Linked DNA regions of Arabidopsis thaliana. The protein of the gene in region 2 interacts with the protein of the main gene of each other region in a pairwise test. Each region holds a gene or a part of one and is shown on either strand. Other genes may lie near its edges. The genes, in order: AAP8, PUP3, NRAMP4 and AT3G05350.

Region 1 (5,002 bases), 6.6 Mb from region 2:
AATGACAAATGACCAGGATTAGGGGATGCATCTCTTGGTTAGATGCGCCATATGGGTAGGTAACCGCAAGGCAATTGTTTGGTTACATGGCGGTTATGATGGTAGCCATCAAGTGACATACGACCACAAAACCTTGAAAATGACTTTGTAAGCAAATGCAGAGTAGAAACGTTAATAGAAAACCAAACTTGCCTTGATCCTCTATTGCCCAACTCCTCCAATACATAAGATGTGATAGCAACTTATGTAGGACACACCAAACCAAATAAATTACACAATCTGTGAGTGTCTGTTTTCAAGATTTCCCCGACAATTCCATTAAGCAAAATAAATAATAATAACTCGAAATTGACACAACCACACGAATTTGAAAAAAGCTGAAATCCATATCTCATGGGACTCAAACATCCAATGTTGATTCAATAATTGTAGTCCTAAAAATAAATCAATAACTAATACATTTTCATAAATTTTAGTACTAATACATAAGTTAGCATTTTGGTTTTTAACATAGCTGAAAACAGAACGTCACATTATTTGGAGAAACATTAAGTACTAAATATTTAGCATGAAATAAATTTCATATAATTCATATGGATCACAAGGTTTTTTTTTGGCAAACATAGATTATAAGTCACACTAGTCTAAATTCTTGAAGGGCTTGTATGACTTGACACTATTAATTAAGCCAATGATGGATCCTACGGCGGCAAGGGCCGAGACGATCAAGCAAACCAATACGAGGAGGTTCAAGGCCAACCATCTACGAGAATACTTCTTGACTTTAGCCTGCGCAATGTGCATTGCCACCGGAAAATAAACTGTGAGTGGCCAGAACGCGAATGCCCCTAGCAAACCCAAGATCGCATTGAAGAAGGGGAATATCATTGCTACAAATGTTGTCAAAACAACATAGCATGTCCTCCAAACCAGTCTGAAGAGGTTGACACGACATTTTCCAAGCAAAGGAACCTTTGACGAGTATTCTTTGTTGATGAAATTGCTTTGAGGCCATTTTTTGTTGCAGTTTTCCTCAACAAACTGGAAAAACGGCTGCGCATACACCTGCGAATAATACAGGGATAAAAAAAAAAAAAGAGCATTTTTTAGAAACAATATTTAGTAATAACTCCATTTCTACAATCTTCTGAATTGTTAAAGCTAAAAATTCTAACACAATAATGAGACTTTTAATGAACTTGAACACGGTAAATGTATGTTACACACTTATCCTATTCTTTTGTTTGTGAGTTATACCTGATAGGCACCTATTAGATGGAGAGCAATGCAAGCATTGGCAAAGTCGATGAGCCAATAAGGTTCGTAAAAACCAAAATCGGTAAGGAAGTCACCAGGGGCTTGGTTGCCGAACGCAGCATATCCGATGCAACCACACAAGATGTAGAAAACAGTTGTGGTTGAGACTCCGACAAGACTTGCTCGTTTCATCACTTTGTTCTCTGGTGGGCTTGATCTCAATGTGTCCTGCAAAATAAACAAGACATACTACTAGAGCGTCACTATCTTTAGAGCTTCACATATCTAAAATATGAAACTATTTTTATCCATCATCCATCCATCTATATTTTTTCCTAACTGTCTAATTAATAATAACATCTTATCTTCAAGGTATTCTTATTTTACCTCTCTTTGGCGAAATTAATAATAACAAGCAAATGAAAACAATAGTAAACGGAAGATAGTAGGAATCAGTAGTACATGCCTGAATCTCGATGAGAATAGTGGTAAAAGCGTATGAAAAGGCAATGTCTCCAATCGCTTGAAACAATTTCCAAACTTTTTCAGACGCAGTTACGTCCACACCTATCACTGTCCCTGTCAATTCTGTCTTACCAATCTTCCCACCTTTCATATATATTGTATACCATTTTCACGGTTAGTGTCAACTTTGAAGAATCATCCATATAAACCACTATGTTTTAAGATAAAGAAGGGGAATGTACTTGCTACAGTAGCGATGGCTAGGCCTATTCCGATAGACGCATAAGAGAAGGACATAACCGCGGCGATGATGGATAGGAAAGAGAGCTTGTGGAAGTTAGGAAGCTGGCTCAGAATGATCTGGACGATCCCAAATGCCGCCATGTATGGATAATTCGATACAGAACATTTCGCTTTATGTCCCTTGTCATGATAACAATTTGATTTCCCAATCGCTCTAACGAAGACGTACAAAAACACCAATCAAACAATTATTAGTAATTTTATTCAGAACAACATGTTAGTATAACCATAACAAAATAATCGAAATAAATCAGAATCTTTGACTTACACTAAGCTTATGGAGGCAGTGATGGTGTAACCAATAGTGACCCCTACGAGATTCACGTACTGTGCCACTCCACATAGCTGAACCTTTTTACCACCTGCGTTTTATGTTATTAAAGAAGAAAAATGATTACTCTTGTACTACTATCAAATACTACCAATCTTTTGGTCTTATGGCAAAGTTTCTAAACATCCCGCATAATTCCAAATTTTCAACGAGGGGTCAACAATCGAATTTATAACATTCTTTAACGGGATAAATTGAATTGACTATGTTACCAATCCTAATCAATTTAATTTATTAACTAAGTTATGAAAGAATGAAGATTATCTTCCTTTTTTTTATATAGATTTTGATAATTAATTCATATCTTCCCATGAAAGAGCATGCACACTTGGCAAAATCGTAAATCATTTTTTTCTAACAACCATATTTTTTTCTTTCATTGTTCAACAACAATAATGTTCTTCAACAAATTTACATGGTAAAAAATTGTTGAAATGAGCCAATTATACTGTAGATTTACAAATTCCAACTTAGCATTAAATATATATTTTTAGATCAGATTTTTTTTCTTTCGCCAGCCATCATCATTGTGACAGAAATGGAAGAAAATCAAAACACATGTCCTAAATTGAGACTAGTTAGGCAAAATCTAAATGATATCAAATGAACAAAATCCTTGTTCATCTGAGAAAAAATGTCTAGAAAACTGAAAAATCTGTGAAAAACAATGCTGATAAAGACACAAAATGAATTTGTTTATATGAATCCATACCAAGGTAAGATCGGACGACGCCCATGTAATTATAGTTGCGTGTTCCGGTGATGGAGTCCGGCGAACGGTAACAGTCGGCGAGCAAGGTGGACGTGTAGTAAGTAATGATGGCGAAAGCGACCAAAACTGTGGTTCCTGCCACCCAACCAAGCTGTGCTATAGCCCAAGCCAACGACAGCACCCCTGAGCCTATGACCGCCGTGATTATGTGCGCACTCGCCGTCCAAAATGTTCCCGTTCTCTTCTCTCGACCATCGTCGTCGACGCTTTTCACGGCGGCGTCACCCGACTCCACCGCCGAGGGATTGTTGTATGCGTCCATCATTGTGAGAGAACCACTGAACCAGAGGAGAGAAGAGAGGGGAAGAGAGTTATTGACAGAGGTCGTCTTATTAGAGTACTCCCTCACAATCACGTACTTACATGTATTATATACACAAATATCGATGTTTATATGGAAAGAGCATCTTTGTACGTTGAATCTTATTTATTAAGAGAATCTTCTATTACGAGGATTTATTTCTTTTGACTTTGATTTTGAATGTGTAACCACTATTGCTTATTCCGGAAACAAAAATTGGTCCGCATGTTGAAAAGAGGATTTACCTACATTAACGACACTACGAATAATCGAAATTAGGTAACTGATTAAAATTAGATGAGTAAAACAGAGAGATATTTCCTTCAGATCTTGGCCTCTTGCATAGCTATATCCTCTCTTCTATCTTGCTCATTTATCTTCTCAAATCCTCACATGCACATGATTCATTAATCGGGAAATTAAATCATTAACATTGAGTTATAATGATGTATTGATGTGAATCTATATATATATATTGTTGTATCAACTAAATATTATGATATATCTACAACATTTTGTTATTAGTATCGCATCAAATACAAAATTATGTGGATTTACATGTTTGTATTATATTTTACTACTATTTTAACGGTTTACAAAAACATGTAAACCAAACCATAAATTTCACTAATTTCAATTATGTACGATTTTGAGTCTTCATTACTTCTTATCGTTTCTTTCACTCTTATAGTCTTATCTCACAATCCGTAATTTGTGCACAATTAATGAATTCAATGTTGTATTTTGTCGTATTAAATATGGATTTTGACCAACATAAACCTGATTTTTTAGTGGATTATTTTAAAATATATCCACAAAATATTCCTTCGAATAAAATCCCATTCTAACTATATCCATAAAATGCCCATCCCAATTGTCGAGACAGAATCAGATATCTAAAATGACACATAATAAATGTCGCATATTACACCATTAAAGTACGGTACGTTGACCTCCTACCTGACTATGAACAGCTCATCAGACAGCTCCCTGTGCCCTCAAGTAGGGGTGTGGATAAATTGGTCTGGTTACCGGTAAAATCTGGAGAGTATACCTCAAGATCAGGTTACGGGGTAACATCCTTGACAGTGCTACCAACAGCTCAGGTCCGCTTTAACTGGCAAGCAAACCTTTGGAAACTCCACACTATGCCGAAGATCAAACTTTTCCTATGGAAGGCGGCTGCAGGAGCTCTCCCTGTGGGTGCACAACTCGTAAGAAGGCATATATCATCAACTTGGGATTGTGCACGCTGTGGGGCTCCGGAGACTTCCACCCACATGCTGTTTCACTGTGATTTTGCGGCACAAGTTTGGAACCTAGCGCCCCTCCAATTGGGTCACATCCCTATCGGTACCCCTATTTTGGAAGCTCTTAACTTACTTAAGAAAACCATCGTTCTCCCCCCGGTTGGGATTCATACAGCAACCCTCTTCCCCTGGATCTGTTGGCACATCTGGAAAGCCAGAAATCAGCTTATCTTCCAAAATTCTCATTTCTCTGTGATAGAGACTGTTACAAAGGCGGTTCAGGATGCCTTAGCGTGGCAATCCGCCCAATTGGCGCTCCCAAA
Region 2 (3,454 bases):
GAATGTTATTTCCTCACTAGCGATTGTTCCTTATAGTAATGAAGAATCATGAATATGAACCAAACAGGCTTTACCAGAAGCTCTCTACTGGTTGAACTTACAGGTGGAATCTAACGGGTCCTCAGATCATCCGCGACTTCTCGTTAATGGTGCTGCTGGCGCTATTGTTGAGCAGGTTAATGGGATGAAGCCACCACGAGAGATGAAAGATAAAAGCATTCAACAGAAGACAAATGAAGACTAATTTCATCTATTGCTGGTAGAACAAAAAGCTCACCAGCATAACAGAGAGTGTCATTGTTTGACCTCATAATTCTATTACAAACTCATTTGATGTGAATAATAAGAGACATCAAACAAGTTAAGCTGAAATAAAGAAAAGAAAAAAAAAAGTCCTTTAAGATTGTGTTTTCGGCATAATCCCACAAGTTTCTCAAACATATCTTCTAATCTACTTGGCGGAGAAATGAGTGCTATGATGTCTTTAAACGAAAAGCCATGCTTCGTTGAGTTTTAACACTCACTTATGGGTCTTGACAAAGAAGATTGTTCTGTCTCCTGACTCTCCTCCTGCTGAATTCTCCTTTTATCCTCGCCAGACTTTATCTCACCATAAAAGTAAGAGACAAAGCCCCAAAGGGAGAGAGCAAGAGAAAGTCCCTTCTCAGCTTGAAACTTTTCATGGTAGAATATAACAGCTAAAACCTCTGTAATTGGCAAAAGCACTGATATCATAATACCCGAGACGAGAGACGATGTGGAGAAGATTAATCCAATGGCTCCCAAGAAGAAGCCTTGCCATATGATGGCTGAAAACACAGCCACCACATAGAACAATGCCTCTCCAAGCTTGAACTCTCTTGCTTCTTTTGGTAAGGCCTGCAAAAACAGTAAAGGGCTCAAGTCTCTGTTAAAAACTCTTTTGTATGTTTTCAGATTCAAAAGAGTGACTAACCTTGAAATCACCAGCGATGAACATACCGATGACGCTGACAATAGAAGCAAGGAGACACAAAATCAACTGGAACTCGAGCACAAGGGTATAGCTCATGGTTTGCTTAGCTTTCTGGTAAGCAAGTTCCACTAATGGCAAGATGAAAGCATACATAACAGCTGCTGCTACAGTAATCAAGAAACCAGTTATGTACTGCTTGTGAGTCTCATGAACTGGCTTATCAGTTTCGGTATGCATTCCCAAAACCGCAGCACCAACAGTCAACAACACAACAGCATTGATGGTAAAAGGAGTGAACTTATGTTTAACCATGAAGAATGAGAAGATAGCTATAAAAGCTAACTGTGAAGCAATGATAAGAGCAGCTGTAGAAACTGGAAGATAAGCTATACCATATGCATACAAGTAGTTATCAAACCCTGAGAGAATGCCTACAATAACAGCGGCGATAAGAAGACGCGGTTTGATAAGAAAGAAACTTGTACTATCACCCACATTGTTGCTTCTGCGCCGGGTAATGTAAGAGAAGAGCAGAGGAATGAAGATAACAGGAAAGCCTGCAGTTTCAAGAAACGTAGAGAACCAAATCCTTTTACCGCCATTGTTGAAGTAGAGACGCATAATCAAAGGACCTCCACAGTTTCCTATGGCTAGAATTATGCAGTTTATGATCACAAGAGCCTTCACCATTCTTGTCTGATTTCTTGTGGATAATGAAGGTTGGTGGTCGAAGGAGTTAGTTATAAGGTTTGGTGTTGCTGTGTTTTGGAACAAATTTGGTCCGGTTTTAGATTCTGTCGTGATAGATCTTTGTGTTTCTTTTTACCTAACGAGGCTTCAATGGCTAAAACATGACTTTTCCTATTTTATACCCATAAATTTTGCTAACTGTTTAATTTCGTATAAAAAACGTAGTAATTATCTTATAGACCAGATAATATCATATCTCTCATATTAATTTACGTTTCCATCAAATTCTACAGTTTTGATTATTGGATTTATTTCTTTCTAAATTTAGTGCAATGACATTAAGATTTTCAGTTCATAATTCTCTCTATAATTAGAAGATTTTAAGGATGGTTAATTGGTTCTTTGACTCTATCTCTTTTGTTTTCTCTTCTTCTTTCTATATTAGTTCTTTGATTTATATACAAATTTTTATATTAAATAGATAAATTATATTAATCTTAAATTAAAAGTGTGAAATGTTTATTTTATAAAATCGATAAATAGGATGTGATTTTATCAAATACGAAATATCCTATCTTTTACTTATCATTATCATTCTATTTCTACTACAAGTGTATTAAAATTTGCATTTATCAAATAGCTCAATATCTTTCAAATTTATTCATACTTATACACAAGAACAATAACAAAACACACAATCACACATAATATTAGGAACAAAACATAACAGTAATGCTCTGTTATAATCCTATAGAGTTATAGAAATTAAGCAACATAATCACTAACAGGAAGAATAGGCAGTTCTGTCTCCGGCGGTTGAGGTTTATCAACAACTTTCTTGCCGGATTTAAACTCGCCGTAGAAGTAAGAGACAAATCCCCAAAGAGAAAGAAGTAGAGAGACACCTTTCTCTGCCTGAAACTTCTCCCGGAAACAAACGACGGCGAAAACTTCAGTCACCGGAAGCAGAACACTTATCAGAACACCAGAAGCTAGTGATGATGCACAAAACACAATCCCTATGGCTCCTAAGAAGAAACCTTGCCATATTATTCCTGTGATCACTATCAATGCATAGTAAAACACTGATCCTCCAATCTTGAACTCTCTTGCTTCTCTTGCTATCACCTACAAAACATGTATGATGATGATTTTAGTTGATTCTCAAGTTTAATCATAATTTTAAATAGATATGGAAATACAGGATAAAGGTTTGAACAATTTTTAAATAATGTTTCTAATAAAAGATAAGGAAGACAAATCATATATATGAAAGTTGGCCAACTCTCTCCATATGATTGACACATCATCACTTTAACATGTGCCATGTGTCCACATAATAATTAATGTAAGCTTTCAACTTTTAATTTATAGATTAATGATGTATTTATTATTTAATTTTACATATTTAATTGTACTAATACTAAATTTATTTTGTTATTACATGTTGTTCAATAAAATAATTTTATTGGTTTTCTCATACTCAGAAGATTTTTTTCTGTAATCTTAACTCAAATTATGAGTGTATAGTAGTCATGGATTAGTTAATAGTTTGAATAGTTTGCATATTGTTATATATCTATATAATAAATCGCCGAGGGTGAAGAGTATGTAAGAAATTTAATCATCAAATTCTTAGGTTTCGAGAATTCCAGTATTACCCTCTATTTAATTAGTTTAAGATGAACATTGTTTAGGAATTGTGTGTATAATGCATTGTTGAGAATGTTGTTAGAAAAAATATATTTTAATACTAAGAATAATTACTTATTACATAAGTAAATGATTAGATAATTAAAAATTATATTT
Region 3 (5,023 bases), on a different chromosome or scaffold from region 2:
TTTCTCTTAATAAATGCGTTAGACTCGTGGCGGGTTTTGCGTCAAACCTTGTTAGGTAGGTTATGTATTTAAATATTTTAATTTTTGACTTTTTGATGTTTGTTTTTTTGGATTTTGGATTAGGAGAAGCTGCTCCTGTGTTTTTAATTTAATTTGGGGCAGTTAACGAAACTTACGTGATGTATTTAAATACCTCGACTCGACTCGACTCTCGTTTGCCAGGAAATTTTCATTATCAAATGATAAAACTAGCTTCCAGAATTTTTTTTAACTTAAATTTGCAATCAAAGCTTATCGTGGCATCAAAGAAATTGTGCATGAATTTCCCCTAAACGACTAAACATTGTTTGTGACCTTTAAACATCAAATTAAATGCGAGCGCGTTTCCATTAATCTTTGACCATTTCTTCCCCATTTTTGACCATTTTTTTTTTCTCTAAGAAATTCAAAACCAGAGTTCACGTTATTACTTTGAAAAACATCAAGATATCTAAATGTATAAATATTAAGATTTTTTTTTTAACTTATATACTTAAACCCAAAAAAAAAAAATCTATCTAAAAGAAAATGAAATAACGCACATCTGAAGAAGGAACTTCATGTTTACGTTTTATTTCTGCCAAAATTCTAAGAAACGCCGGAAGTTTTACACAAACGATACGATTCGGATTCTTCCAAAGCTATACTCTAAAAACCATAAAACACTATAATACAAATACATCAGGACATTGTTTTGTTACCATACTGAAACTCAACTTTCTATTGTTTGTTTCACTAAAAAGAGCAATCTCTCTTATTCTTATTCTTCAATGAAAAGGTCTCTTTGCTTTTCCTTTACTCACTCATCATCCCTCTGTGGTTCTTTATGTGAAGAAGCCACTAGTTGCCAAGGAGTGTACGTGAGTCCTCGTGAGATAAGGTAAAGTACAAACACAACATAAGCAATTGCGAATATGATCACTGGCACAAGCAAAATCAAATTCGTTGCAGCTCCTGAGAAGAAATCCACCATTAGATACCCATTAATGGCTATCACAAGAGCAGCTACTATCCATGAGATTGTTTGGACTAAAGGTTGAATTTTGAAACTGCCCATGATTTGCTCATTGGAGACCAAGCAAAGGAGTGGGATCACAGCGAAAGGGATCTGAACCGATTGAAGAACGTTTAGCCATTCGTTGAGCTCATCAAGCATAGAATCCGATGAATCAAAGACAAGCGCCACGATCATTGTTGGTATGATTGCACAGCTTCTTGTGATCAAGGCTCTAACCCATTTCTTCATCTTGAGATTCAAGAACCCTCCCATTATAAACTGTCCGGCGTACGTACCTGTGATGGTACTACTCTGACCAGCAGCTAAGACTCCAATCGCCCATATATACAGTATCGGGAAAAACCCACCCCCGTATTTGTCCTGTAAGTACTGTCCAGCATTTGCAAGACCGATGGTGTCCGCTATCTCTGTCCCGTAAAACGACTTGGCAAACACCGTGGTCACAAAGACGTTGATAATGAAAGAAACCGCAAGAGCACCAGTGGATTCAATGGAGTAGTACTTGAGAGCTTCTTTGACCCGGAATCTCTTTTTCGGATCGACTTCTCTGGATTGCACAAGTGCTGAATGCAAGAACACATTGTGAGGCATGATAATACATCCCACAATACCAACAGCTTGTTTGATAGTCCTGGAGCTAAGCTTAGGGACCAATGCTCCTGTTAAAAAACATGAACAGTTACCATTTTTGTACTCCCATCTCCACACACTAGACAAAAGAAAGGAATATTTAGAGTCTCACCAACAAGGAGCTCAGTTCCACTGGGTTTCGTCTGACCAAACATCCAAGCAAATGCAAGAGCCATTGTTGCAATCAAAATAGCAAACACAGCTTCTAGTTTCCTTATTCCATAATTCTCCAAAAATAGAAAGATGAAACTGCAATTAACCCATCACACACAATGTTAGGATCAAAACTAAAGATACCAAACAAACAATAATAAAGAACCCTAAATTCCAAAAATTAGGGTTTTTCCTAAATCAATAACCAAATTGAGAAAAAAAAAAACACTTACCAATCAAGAGCAGTGATAACAACACCAGCCCAAAGAGGAACCAATCCATTAGACAAGATCTTGATAGCTATAGCACTACCAATAACTTCCTGAATATCAGCTCCGATCAAAGCAATCTCCGCCATAATCCAAAGCACCATCCTTGCCCAAGTCGGATACTCTTCTCGACACAACTCCGCCAGATGTCTACCCGTCGCCACACCGAGACGGGCAGATAGAAGTTGAATCAGAAGCCCAATCGCCGTAGCCCACATCAATAGCCAAATCAAAGAGTAACCAGCGATGGCTCCAGCTTGAAGATCGCTCTCGAGATTACCTGGATCGAGGAAAGCGATACTCATCAGAAAACCAGGTCCAGTGAATAGCCAAAGCTTCTTCCATGAGAATTTAGGAGAGTTTCCGGGGTCATCGTCGTAATCAGCGTCTTCTTCTTCGTCGATTCCGACTATGAGAACTTTCTCGGTTTCTTCATAAGCTCTCTCCTCCGATGCTAATAACGGACGCTCTCTATCAGTCTCCGACATATTTCCCGGTAACCGCCGATTCTCAGAGTCGGAATTCAGAAATGCTAAATTCGAAATTGGTGGTGGTGCTGCGACTAAAGTGACGACTATCTTGAAATTTGCAACTGCTTTGTTGCTTTATATATATACTATAATCGACTTAGGGGTAGATAATACCGTTTTATCCAATACTATTACGCCACGTCAGAATAAGAAGTGGCAGTATATGTGAATGGTAAATAAGCGCAGGGATAGATTTGTCAATAAGTCGAGAGAACGTGTAACTTGGGGATTATCGAGTCTTCTTCTTGGGAGTCTCATTATCCTCACACAAAAGTATGGTGCTCAAGGAAATTACTAGTTTGGTCGACCATATTAATGGTGATGATTACAGATTAAAAAATGCGACGTGGTGAACAGAAACAAAAATAAATAAAGGGAATGGGTTAAGTAGAAGTAGAAACGTGTTTGGCCTGGGGGTTACACGAATCCGTCAGCTCTCGCCACGCGCCATCATCCACTTTCACTGTTTCACCCAACGGTTTACTACTACTACATAAAGACACCTTCATAGTTGATGTCCTCATATCTCAATTGCATTACATCACTTTCAATTCAAATCTAGCTTTGTGGTCTAAATTCAAAGATATGGATGTAGTAACCCTTGTAATCTTATGCAGTTTGTTTTCTTTCAATTCATTGTTACTCGTCAGTCAACCCAAAAGTTGCAATGATAGATAAAATAACAAAAATAATCTCAAGTACAGTTTCATCTTTCGAATTTAGTGTTATAACTTATAGATATGTGCAACAACAAAAAGAAACACCTTGGACTGAGAGAGTGTTATTAGGACTACAATTAAGAAAACTACATTCTGAAATCAAGAACGCAAACTGAGTTATCAGCGAAGCAAGCTGCGATTTTGTTACCTTCTTTGTTCCAACACACTTCGAATATCCCTCCATTTCCTGTGTATGTCTTTACGATTTTACCTTCTTTAATCGACCATATGTGTATCGATTTGTCCAAAGACCCACTCGCTATGTACTCCCCGTTTGGACTAAACGCCAGTGAGTAAACCGGTTCCCTTCATATCACAACAACGAAACTTATAACCAACGGTTTACAGCTAAACCCCGCAAAAGTACATTGAGGTTTAACTTTTACCTGTGTCCATTGAAACTACAGAGCATCTTCCCGAGTTCTGCATCCCATAGCTTTACTGTTGAGTCAAATGATGCACTGTTCCATTCAAACAACAACAACAACACAGAGATGATGAATGATATGTTACAATGACGCTTTGTTTTTAAAGTATTCAATGTTTAAAGCGTGTTGTAACCTTGCAAGAGTTAGCTGTTTGTTAGGATTGTTAGTTCCTGGTCCTGTAGGGCTCCATCTGATTGTATAAATTTCCTAAAGAGAAGATTAATATCCATCTTTAGAGGCTATTCAAAATCCAAAAATATATTTGAAATTTCCTTAAGACTTTTGAGGATTTATGGATTTACCTTAGTATGCTCTCGGAGGTCATGAACAAAGGTGCTTTGTTTTATATTCCATATCTGAAGAAAAAATATACATTTATAAAAAGAGGCAGAGAGAAACTTAAAGAAATGTAGAATATGCTCAAGTTAATTCAAAGAACCTTAGCAGTACTATCATCTGAGCATGAGGCCAATAATGAACCAGTAGGATCCCATTTCACACAGTTGACCTCACCCTGCCATTATGGAAGCCATGGGTTTGGTTAGTACCAGACATTTGTTACTTGCGACTGAGAAAACTAAACATACTGATACGATATGGGAGAAACTTGGATGACAGATACAAACCTGATGCCCAGTAAAGGTTTTGGCAGGCCTAGTTTCTCCAATCTTACATAAGTAGATCATGCTGTCCGTGGAACTCGTTGCAAAAGATACATTGTTGCGCCAATCAACATCAAGTGTTGGACCTATTTTCAAAAAAAATTCATTCCATGTCATATGCATGAGAAATTGATTCAAATTGATGTTTAATCAAAAAAGAAATAAAATTGCACCTGAATGAAATTCAAATTGTTGCTTCCACTCCTCTGCCTTTACGTCCCAAACAACAGCAGTTCTATCAACACTACCGGTTAGAAGATAGTCCCCCTTCTTGTTCCACTTAAGGGAAAAAATAGGTCCCTTGTGTTTGCTAAGAGTACTTATCAGTTCACCTGGAAATGTGAAAAAGAAAGACGTAATTTGTAATTTAGAAGCTGACTCTCCAATACATAACAGAAGGTGGAGTAAATGTTTTTGGCCAAGGATATGATACCCAATGCAGAGTTATAATGTTTTTTACTAGCTGATAGCTTTTATTGTTTCAATCTTGTGTCGTGTTACTATCAAAAGCCCACACAACTCGAACATCACAATTTGTAGCTCACGCTAGAAGGAAACATAGAGATATTAATTTA
Region 4 (7,603 bases), on a different chromosome or scaffold from region 2:
ATGCACATTGAGTGCAGCACCTACGCCGTGTCCTGTCCCTGTTTGGCAGGCAAAATATCAGAGTAATATGAGTTCCTTACAAAAAAGTTGTTCTGGGAAGAAGAGTCAAAAGATAGAATAGAGTACCATGGCGGTAATCAAGTCCAATTTTCCATAGAGAAGAGCGTGCAAACCCATCCAATACAAAACCAGGAGTACCTTCTGGGAACACGGCTTGATCAAGAGCTATATGACCCTACAACCAAAATACCAATCAGACAAGGCAACCCATACAGGTTCGTCTGTTCAATATAGGTAGTCAATGGTCATCAAAAATGATGAGGAAAAGAAGAGCCAAATATTCCACCTGCAAGACTCGAGTGAAACATTCCTTTTCACGGGCAGAAGGTTCACTAAAATGTACTGTTCTGGTGATGTCTGTTGTTCCATCAACATATTGAGCGCCACTATCCAGCAAAAAAAGTTTTTGAGGGTCTACACGACTGCAGCTCTCAGGCTCGGGCTTATAATGTATAATAGCACCATTTGCACCGGAACCTGCATGGGTAATTAGAGGAAAGGAATACATATCACTCACTGGCTGTATATTGACTATGTGTTAAGAAGCAAGTTCCACCAACAAGGGTGACAATAACCATACCACTTATTGTATCAAAGCTTGTATCCATAAAACCATCTTGCATTGAACGGAATTCAAGAAGCCTGTCAGCCACATCGACCTCTGTTAGATTCGCATTCTTATGCACTTCTTCTTCCAGCCAAGCCCAGAAATGAGCTAGGGCAGCAGCATCTCTGCATAAAATAAGTGGTCAGCCAAAGACATTTCCCATACATAGGAAAAAAAGAAACCAAAATTTTCCAGAAATGAGCTAGAGCAGCAGCATTTCTCCATATATATTTGGTCAGCCTAAGATACTTAGCATTTGAAAGTACAAAAGAAACCAAAATCTTCCAGAGAAAAGTTGAATCCTATAAAGGCAGTTGGATTAGGAAAATATCGTAAAAGCAATGGCTTTCTTTACCTCAAGTGAGAATTCTTCATTCCCTTTAGCTCAGCATCATTTTTAATGGCCTTTGCCCACGAAATAGGAGATTGCATGTAAATACCAGAAGGATTGGCAGTATATCCGCTGGAGCTATCAGTAAACTTTGTCTTAACTTTGGCTTCGCTTTCAAAATTCCTCGAATATCTTTCACAGGCAGATTTGTAGGTACTAATGATAGCTACGTTGAGGGTTGATGGATCCATCAAGAGCTGAGCTCCTCGTGCTGCCAAACTGAGAAAACTCAAAGTGAGGGAAATTCCTTTTTCTGAAGTTCATAAATGGACATGGACAATCAAGTACTTACCTATCTATTCCTTGAAGAATGGAATCGTAAGGTCTAAGTTCGATCCCTGCGTTTTTCAAATGATCTTTCACCTCCACCGTTACTTTAGAATTATCTACAAAAAGTTGGGCTTGGTCAACCTCTACAATCAGATATGCGTACATTACAGGTGAATGTGGAACATCGCTCCCTCTCTGCAGTCAGAAGAGGCAGAATACAACATCAATACATTGGGACCTATGTGAAGGATAAGCTGATATCAGTGGCACAAAACTAACAGATTCAAATGTAAGATGCTATGCTAGAGTATTACCAGATTAAGCACCCATGCAATCTCATCAAGCATGGATATTACAATGGCAGATGTGCCAGCATCCATAATTTGGTTCCTCAAAGACAACAATTTCGAGGCCACATCTAAACCAGCATACTTCAAGTCATGTATCCTTATTTGTCTGCTTGGAGGCTTTGGCCTTGAGTCCTTCCATATCTCATCCACAAGATTTACATTGTACAAGTAAACCAACTCATGATTCTTCTTTGCTATAACCTCCTTCAATTCCTCAGCAGCATCGGCGGAAAAAAGGAACTGCTCCCTTCATGAATTCCAAAGTCTTGTAAATAACAAACCACAAACTACAATATTTAAGGACAAAAGGAGACACAATTTAGAAGGTTTAATAATAGCTTACAGGGTCAATACCAACTCTTCCACCAGGCGCCAAAACATCAGCTATCCATTCACTCGCCGTGGGGACTCCCGGATTACCAGCCCGCATGAGAATCCAACTAGAGTTTAATTGCTTCTCCGCCTTTGATAGAATAATTGCAGAGAATGTAGATAAGAAACTCCACATTTCCTTTCAATATGAGATGGCAATCAAATAATTTTAAAGGACGATAATGATCAAAACCTGAAGAAAATAGCGGCCATCTGTCCATAGAGCTGCCTTATCCTTGGTGACAACAGCGGTACCAGCACTTCCAGTAAATCCTGATATATAAGCCCTCCTGGCATAGCACTCTGCGATGAACTCGCTCTAGTACAAAATATGGAGAAAAATCACACTCAAGCCATGAAAAACTCAGGCAGTTTATGGATACATTTAGAAGTAAAACATAAATTTGTGACTTTCCTAATGGCACAGAAATATATTACAGGCAACATCAGTTATGAAAGTAGATCTTAAGCTCCTAGTATGTAAAATTCACCGAAACAACACATTACCCATATCAAAATGGCAAAAACAATTGCATAGATGCATAACAACCCCCGCACTGGTCCAAATCATATTTATTTTTTATCTTGAATCTCCAAATCGAATTTGGTATACTCAGGGACAGCAAGATTGACGTGTGAGCGGAGCAAGAAACTTTGGGGAGAATGAAATAAAACACGAGTTGGAGAATTTCATACTGTGATTTAGAAGAAGAAGAACTTCCATTTGGCTCTACAATTGAAACATCCTCTTATGACAAGTTGAGATTTGACTAGGAAGAAAAATCTGAATGCATTTTCAACCCAACATATAGAAGATCAGATACCACCAAAGCCGTTTCTTACAATACCATAAAGTAGAAAATTACAAAGACAAAGAGTTTATGCATAACACAACTGACAGATATCATAACAAACATATACGTTTCACAATCACTCAGAGAAATTGTGAGAGGTGATGGTGTTCAACGAGCACTTGTGGTGACTACTCTGCGCTTGTTTCGATGGAATTTTTCCATGAACCACTCGTGTTTGTGTGCAGTAAAGAAGATATGTCCAATAACTAATCCACAAAACACACCAGGTCCGTAGGCTATTGCCGCTGCTATCCAGTTAATCACTTGTTCTTCTGGTTCCGAAAATTCCTCGGATTCTAGTGGTGTAGAACTCGGGGCATGAGCTTTTCCACAGATTTTCTCAAGACCGTAGAGTCTGAGGTTGTCCATGAATGTAGAACAATGTTGGCTTTGAAACTGAGTGCCTAGTGGAACTGGACCTTCGAGAAGGTTATGGGAGAAATTCATGGTCGACAGAAAAGAGAGGCTACCAAGATCTCGAGGGATGTGACCTGATAGCTGATTCCGGGATAGGTCCAATGTCTCAAGATTTGTCAAATTTGCCAATGACTGAGGGATATTGCTTGTGAATGAGTTACCTGACAAATTGAGAAGACGCAATTCCTTCAACAAACCAACGGATTCAGGTATATTCCCAAAAAATCTGTTTCCAGAAAAGTCAATGGCTCTGAAGAAATATGGGATCCGCAAGAAGTCCGTTTCTACTCCTTTATATATCATAGTCATCGAATTACTATGGCTGAACTCGGGCCCTTTCTCGCCCATGTACCAATCCTCTGTACCTATATTAGAGCCGTTTTCTTCTAAGACAGATGTCACCATCTCACGCCAATTGGAGAAATATAAAGGTGACAAAGTTCCACTGAAGCCATTCTGTGATATATCAATGAGTCTCAAATGTTGAAACCCAAAAGATATGTGGTCATAATATAACGACCCATAGAATGCATTAGATCTGAGGATGAGGACACGTAATGATGGCAAAGAAACCAACCAGGATGGAAAAGTGTCCTTGATTATGTTGCTTCCCACATTCAGAAGTTCCATACCAGTGCAATTGATCAGGGATTTTGGAAGTTTTCCCTCCAACCGGTTGTAGCTAACGTCAAGTGATAATAACATGCTAGCATTGACAAATACGTCTGGGAGAAATCCGCTGAAGCTGTTGTTACGCAGAACTAGCCCTTTAAGCCAATAAGTGGAATTTTTCAAACAAGGAGGAATTGAGCCGTTGAAGAGATTGTTGGACAAGTCTAAGTACTTTAAGAACCTTTGCTTGCAGATCCAATGGGGAAAAGGTCCTCCAAGTGAATTCGAACCAAGATCCAACTCCTGCATTGATTCTCCATCCAAAGCTCCGGATGATGACTTTCCAAAACTGTTGAAAGAATTGTGGGAAAGTGTCACTGTCATCAATCCCCATAAGCAACCTGGCACTTCGCCTTCCAAGGTATTGTTTGAAAGACTAAGATGCTGAAGGTTGACCAACTTTGATATAGAAGTGGGGATTGGCCCAACTAAGTTGTTGTGGCTAAGATCTAGTACTATGAGACTGTGAATTTCAGATATATATTCAGGGATTGGCCCATCGAATTTGTTATCAGCAAGGTTTAGATCCCAAAGCCTAGAAGATGAAGATATATTCCCAAACTTTATAGGTCCCATGAACTGGTTTCCTTCCAAATAAACAATTTGTAACGAAGGAATCGTGAATAAGGATGTAGGAAAAGTCCCGACAAATGAATTCTCACGCACATCAAAATATTTCAAGTTGTGGAGTCCACTCATATCAGATGGAAGCGTGGATTTAAAGTGATTAGAGGCAACGTTTAAGGAGGACAAGCTGGTTAAATTTGGTAGTATGAAAGAGAAATTTTCCAATGTGAACTGATTGCTAGAGATGTCTAAACTAGAAAGCTTCGTTAAATTGGTAAATGAAGTAGGAATGTTACCACTAAAACTGTTTTCGGAAAGTAAAAGGTCTCTAAGTTGGTTTAGCTTACTGACCGAAGCCAGAACTTCACCTGTCAGCTGATTACTCGAAAGGTCAAGATGCGTGAGACGAGAAAGGTTTCCTAGTGAAGAAGTAACCTCTCCATAGAGATGGCAATCACTGAGAGTCAGGTTCTGGAGTTGTTGGAGTTTGAAAAGACCACTAGTTGGTTTCAAAGAGTTGTTGAGAAGGACATAACTAAGGTCAAGTGAAACCACCTCGCCAGATTCATCATCGCACGTGACACCCTCCCAAAAACAGCAATCACTAGTCTTGTTCCATGAACTCAACGATGGACTTGGCTTCGATTCACTTACCGGAAACTCGTGTTTGAACTCGAGAAGAGCATCCCTTTGGTCATGGCGGCAATAGTGAAGCCTAGAAGAAGCAAGAGTGCGTAGAACAAGGGAACCCAGGAGGAAGAAATACAAGGTAATAACACTACCAGAAAAGGAATTAGATTGGCTTGGAATCATTTTGTTTGTTTTGTAAGTAACAGGTTATGATAGCTATGGCTTCTACGTCTCTATTTAGAGAGAGAGAAAAATAGAAAACAAAACACAAATTTGCAGCTCTCTAGTAGACTTCTACCTACTCCTTTCTATAGTCAAACTTGCCCACTTGGACCAATAATTGACTTAAAAACACACACAATTGAACAGTTTTGAATCTACTAGAACTTCCTATTCAATTCGTAATCACGAGTTAAGAAGAGGTTTAAAAAAAGAGAACCTGATGTGCATCTTGTGAAGGTATGATATAAGCGTCGATTCCAACACCCGGCTCCGAAAACAGTCGCCGGATCGAGCTAAGCTTCTCGTCGACAACTACTTTGGTTTGAGCTTTACGAATCTCTTTGGAAGACTTTGCCGTGAAGGAGGAAGAGCTGCTGCTGCTGCTACTAGCATGACACCTTGCGCCAAAAAGAGGTTTATACGGTAATTTCCGGTGGATCAGAGAGAGCGAATTGAAATTGCTGAGAAATAGAGAGTGTGAGTAACGTGATGTGGATAAAACGAGCCGATTCAGAGACGGCGACGAAAGAGTTAGAGGAATCATCACCAGCGATTGCAGGAGAATCACACAAGAGGAGAAGCTTCTTGAGCAGAGTGATTACGGATAAATGTGTATAACTACTGAAAATTGCAAAACAACCCCCGTATTCTTTTAAATGTTGTATAATGTGCATGACTATTGATAATTACATTAAAATCCCAGACTTGTCAAAAAGAAACATTTTATTTTGAAACAATCTCATCAAATTCGTTATGGTAAAGGACAGCCAAGAGAGACGTGTGCAAGAAGCAAGAGTCTTTGGGTGCGTAAGAAATGTAAACGTGTTCGAGACTTTCATGCTGAGAATTTCGATTGGAATTTTGGTTTGACTTAGAAAGTTTTATGAGAAAGACTTAATACCGCCTGAATTAAGGGTTTCCACGAAAGAGACAAACGATAAATTGCAACCACACCAGAAAAGAGAAAAATAGATACTAATATTCTTTATATTGATAACCATGGGGTTTAGAATTCAAAACATATTTTGAGATATGAGTAGAAGAAGTTTCTGAATGCATTATCGAGCCAAGATTTATTACAAAACCTTGCAACAATGTGGTTTGGGACAAGAAGCTGACCATGATTTTAACCTGATAGTAAAACGGGCCTTGTCTCTTGACAGCTGAAAGTCTGAAACAAGATCATAATATTTCTCAAGCGCTGAACTAACACAAGTAAGGGAATGGAAGTGAATACTTGTTCTGAAGCAACTGGCATGAAAATGTACCTCTCAAGTATCTGGTTTTTTCTAATCTCCTTCCGTGAAAAGAAAGATTCTTAGGGTACCAAGGCAAAGGCTTGATTGCCTCCAATTCACCACTCTCTATGGCCTTAAGTATGCTTCTTATGTCTATCATCAATGAGACACTAGAAAAATGAAAGAGTCATGAATCAACCTCAGCCCGAAGAGATTTCATGAAATCATTCTCCAATTTCAATCAAATCCCATCACAAAATTGACCACTGAAGAATCAAAAACAGAGGCCACTTAGTCAAAAAAAACTCTGAAACTCCATAAACGAATCCCACTCTTCAGCTTTCACTATCCTTTGTTCCTTACACAACTTCACAACAAGACATTACAATGGTGTTTATTAGAAGTAAAGTTTCAAAATCCATGGAAGCCATTGATTCTATTGAGGTACCTTGTAATACTCCTCGAGTCCTCATCCTCGAAATGAAGATTTGAGCAGATGGGCTTTTGGAGGTTGGAATCAAAGGAAGCATCGGATTTGAGGGGGTTTTCGAACATTCTCTTGGCTATTTAGAGTTGATTTCTCTTCCAAGTTGTGTCGTCTCCATTTTTGTTGTTACAGTGGCCGAGCTTTTTGTTTTCACAGCGATGGGTTTGATGGGTTTACATTGGTTTTGAAATTCAAATTGATCTCGGTTCGGTTTAATTTGGTTTAGAGAAGAAAACCAAAAAAAATAAGACACGCGATGGATTTTTGAGAGTGAGTTGCGTGGATCAAAAAAGGCATGATTTCTGTGGACAAACCCCTTTAGAAATCGTAGACACGCGCTCAACGCGACATGGGTGAGACTGGTTGTGAAATCGCTCGATTGGTAAAAGTGGGGTATGAAGTGGAGCTCTCTCATTGGCTAAAAAAATAAAAATAGTAGACATATAGCTCCTATCCTCCTCCTCTT

What was found.
Region 1: the proteins of PUP3 (region 2) and AAP8 interact in a protein complementation assay, tested with the Arabidopsis thaliana proteins (one large-scale study listed by BioGRID).
Region 3: the proteins of PUP3 (region 2) and NRAMP4 interact in a protein complementation assay, tested with the Arabidopsis thaliana proteins (one large-scale study listed by BioGRID).
Region 4: the proteins of PUP3 (region 2) and AT3G05350 interact in a protein complementation assay, tested with the Arabidopsis thaliana proteins (one large-scale study listed by BioGRID).

The regions. Positions count from the first base shown.
Region 1 is NC_003070.9:3,264,364-3,269,365, reverse strand, and holds AAP8 (amino acid permease 8), read right to left. Parts: upstream 3,481-5,002; 5' UTR 3,394-3,480; coding exon 3,069-3,393; intron 2,388-3,068; coding exon 2,294-2,387; intron 2,180-2,293; coding exon 1,965-2,179; intron 1,867-1,964; coding exon 1,724-1,866; intron 1,486-1,723; coding exon 1,258-1,485; intron 1,066-1,257; coding exon 640-1,065; 3' UTR 543-639; downstream 1-542. Other genes in the region: AT1G10000 (Ribonuclease H-like superfamily protein), read left to right, coding at 4,578-5,002. UniProt on the Arabidopsis thaliana protein: Amino acid-proton symporter. Stereospecific transporter with a broad specificity for glutamate, aspartate and neutral and acidic amino acids.
Region 2 is NC_003070.9:9,859,790-9,863,243, forward strand, and holds PUP3 (purine permease 3), read right to left. Parts: upstream 1,780-3,454; 5' UTR 1,646-1,779; coding exon 956-1,645; intron 880-955; coding exon 514-879; 3' UTR 502-513; downstream 1-501. Other genes in the region: ATJ1 (DNAJ heat shock family protein), read left to right, coding at 104-188; PUP1 (purine permease 1), read right to left, coding at 2,411-2,773. UniProt on the Arabidopsis thaliana protein: May be involved in transport of purine derivatives during pollen germination and tube elongation.
Region 3 is NC_003076.8:26,859,396-26,864,418, reverse strand, and holds NRAMP4 (natural resistance associated macrophage protein 4), read right to left. Parts: upstream 3,154-5,023; 5' UTR 2,598-3,153; coding exon 2,074-2,597; intron 1,937-2,073; coding exon 1,800-1,936; intron 1,717-1,799; coding exon 839-1,716; 3' UTR 522-838; downstream 1-521. Other genes in the region: HOS15 (WD-40 repeat family protein), read right to left, coding at 3,445-3,664, 3,745-3,819, 3,920-3,993, 4,089-4,142, 4,226-4,300, 4,413-4,534, 4,622-4,780. UniProt on the Arabidopsis thaliana protein: Vacuolar metal transporter involved in intracellular metal homeostasis. Can transport iron (Fe), manganese (Mn) and cadmium (Cd). Regulates metal accumulation under Fe starvation.
Region 4 is NC_003074.8:1,527,888-1,535,490, forward strand, and holds the start of AT3G05350 (Metallopeptidase M24 family protein), read right to left. Parts: upstream 6,023-7,603; 5' UTR 5,957-6,022; coding exon 5,630-5,956; intron 5,475-5,629; exon of another isoform or gene 5,374-5,474; coding exon of another isoform or gene 3,013-5,373; exon of another isoform or gene 2,781-3,012; intron 2,370-2,780; coding exon 2,244-2,369; intron 2,142-2,243; coding exon 2,022-2,141; intron 1,919-2,021; coding exon 1,643-1,918; intron 1,524-1,642; coding exon 1,351-1,523; intron 1,278-1,350; coding exon 1,023-1,277; intron 793-1,022; coding exon 641-792; intron 538-640; coding exon 347-537; intron 236-346; coding exon 127-235; intron 39-126; coding exon 1-38. Other genes in the region: RLP30 (receptor like protein 30), read right to left, coding at 3,013-5,373; AT3G05365 (uncharacterized protein), read right to left, coding at 6,489-6,583, 6,681-6,820, 7,099-7,205. UniProt on the Arabidopsis thaliana protein: Catalyzes the removal of a penultimate prolyl residue from the N-termini of peptides, such as Arg-Pro-Pro.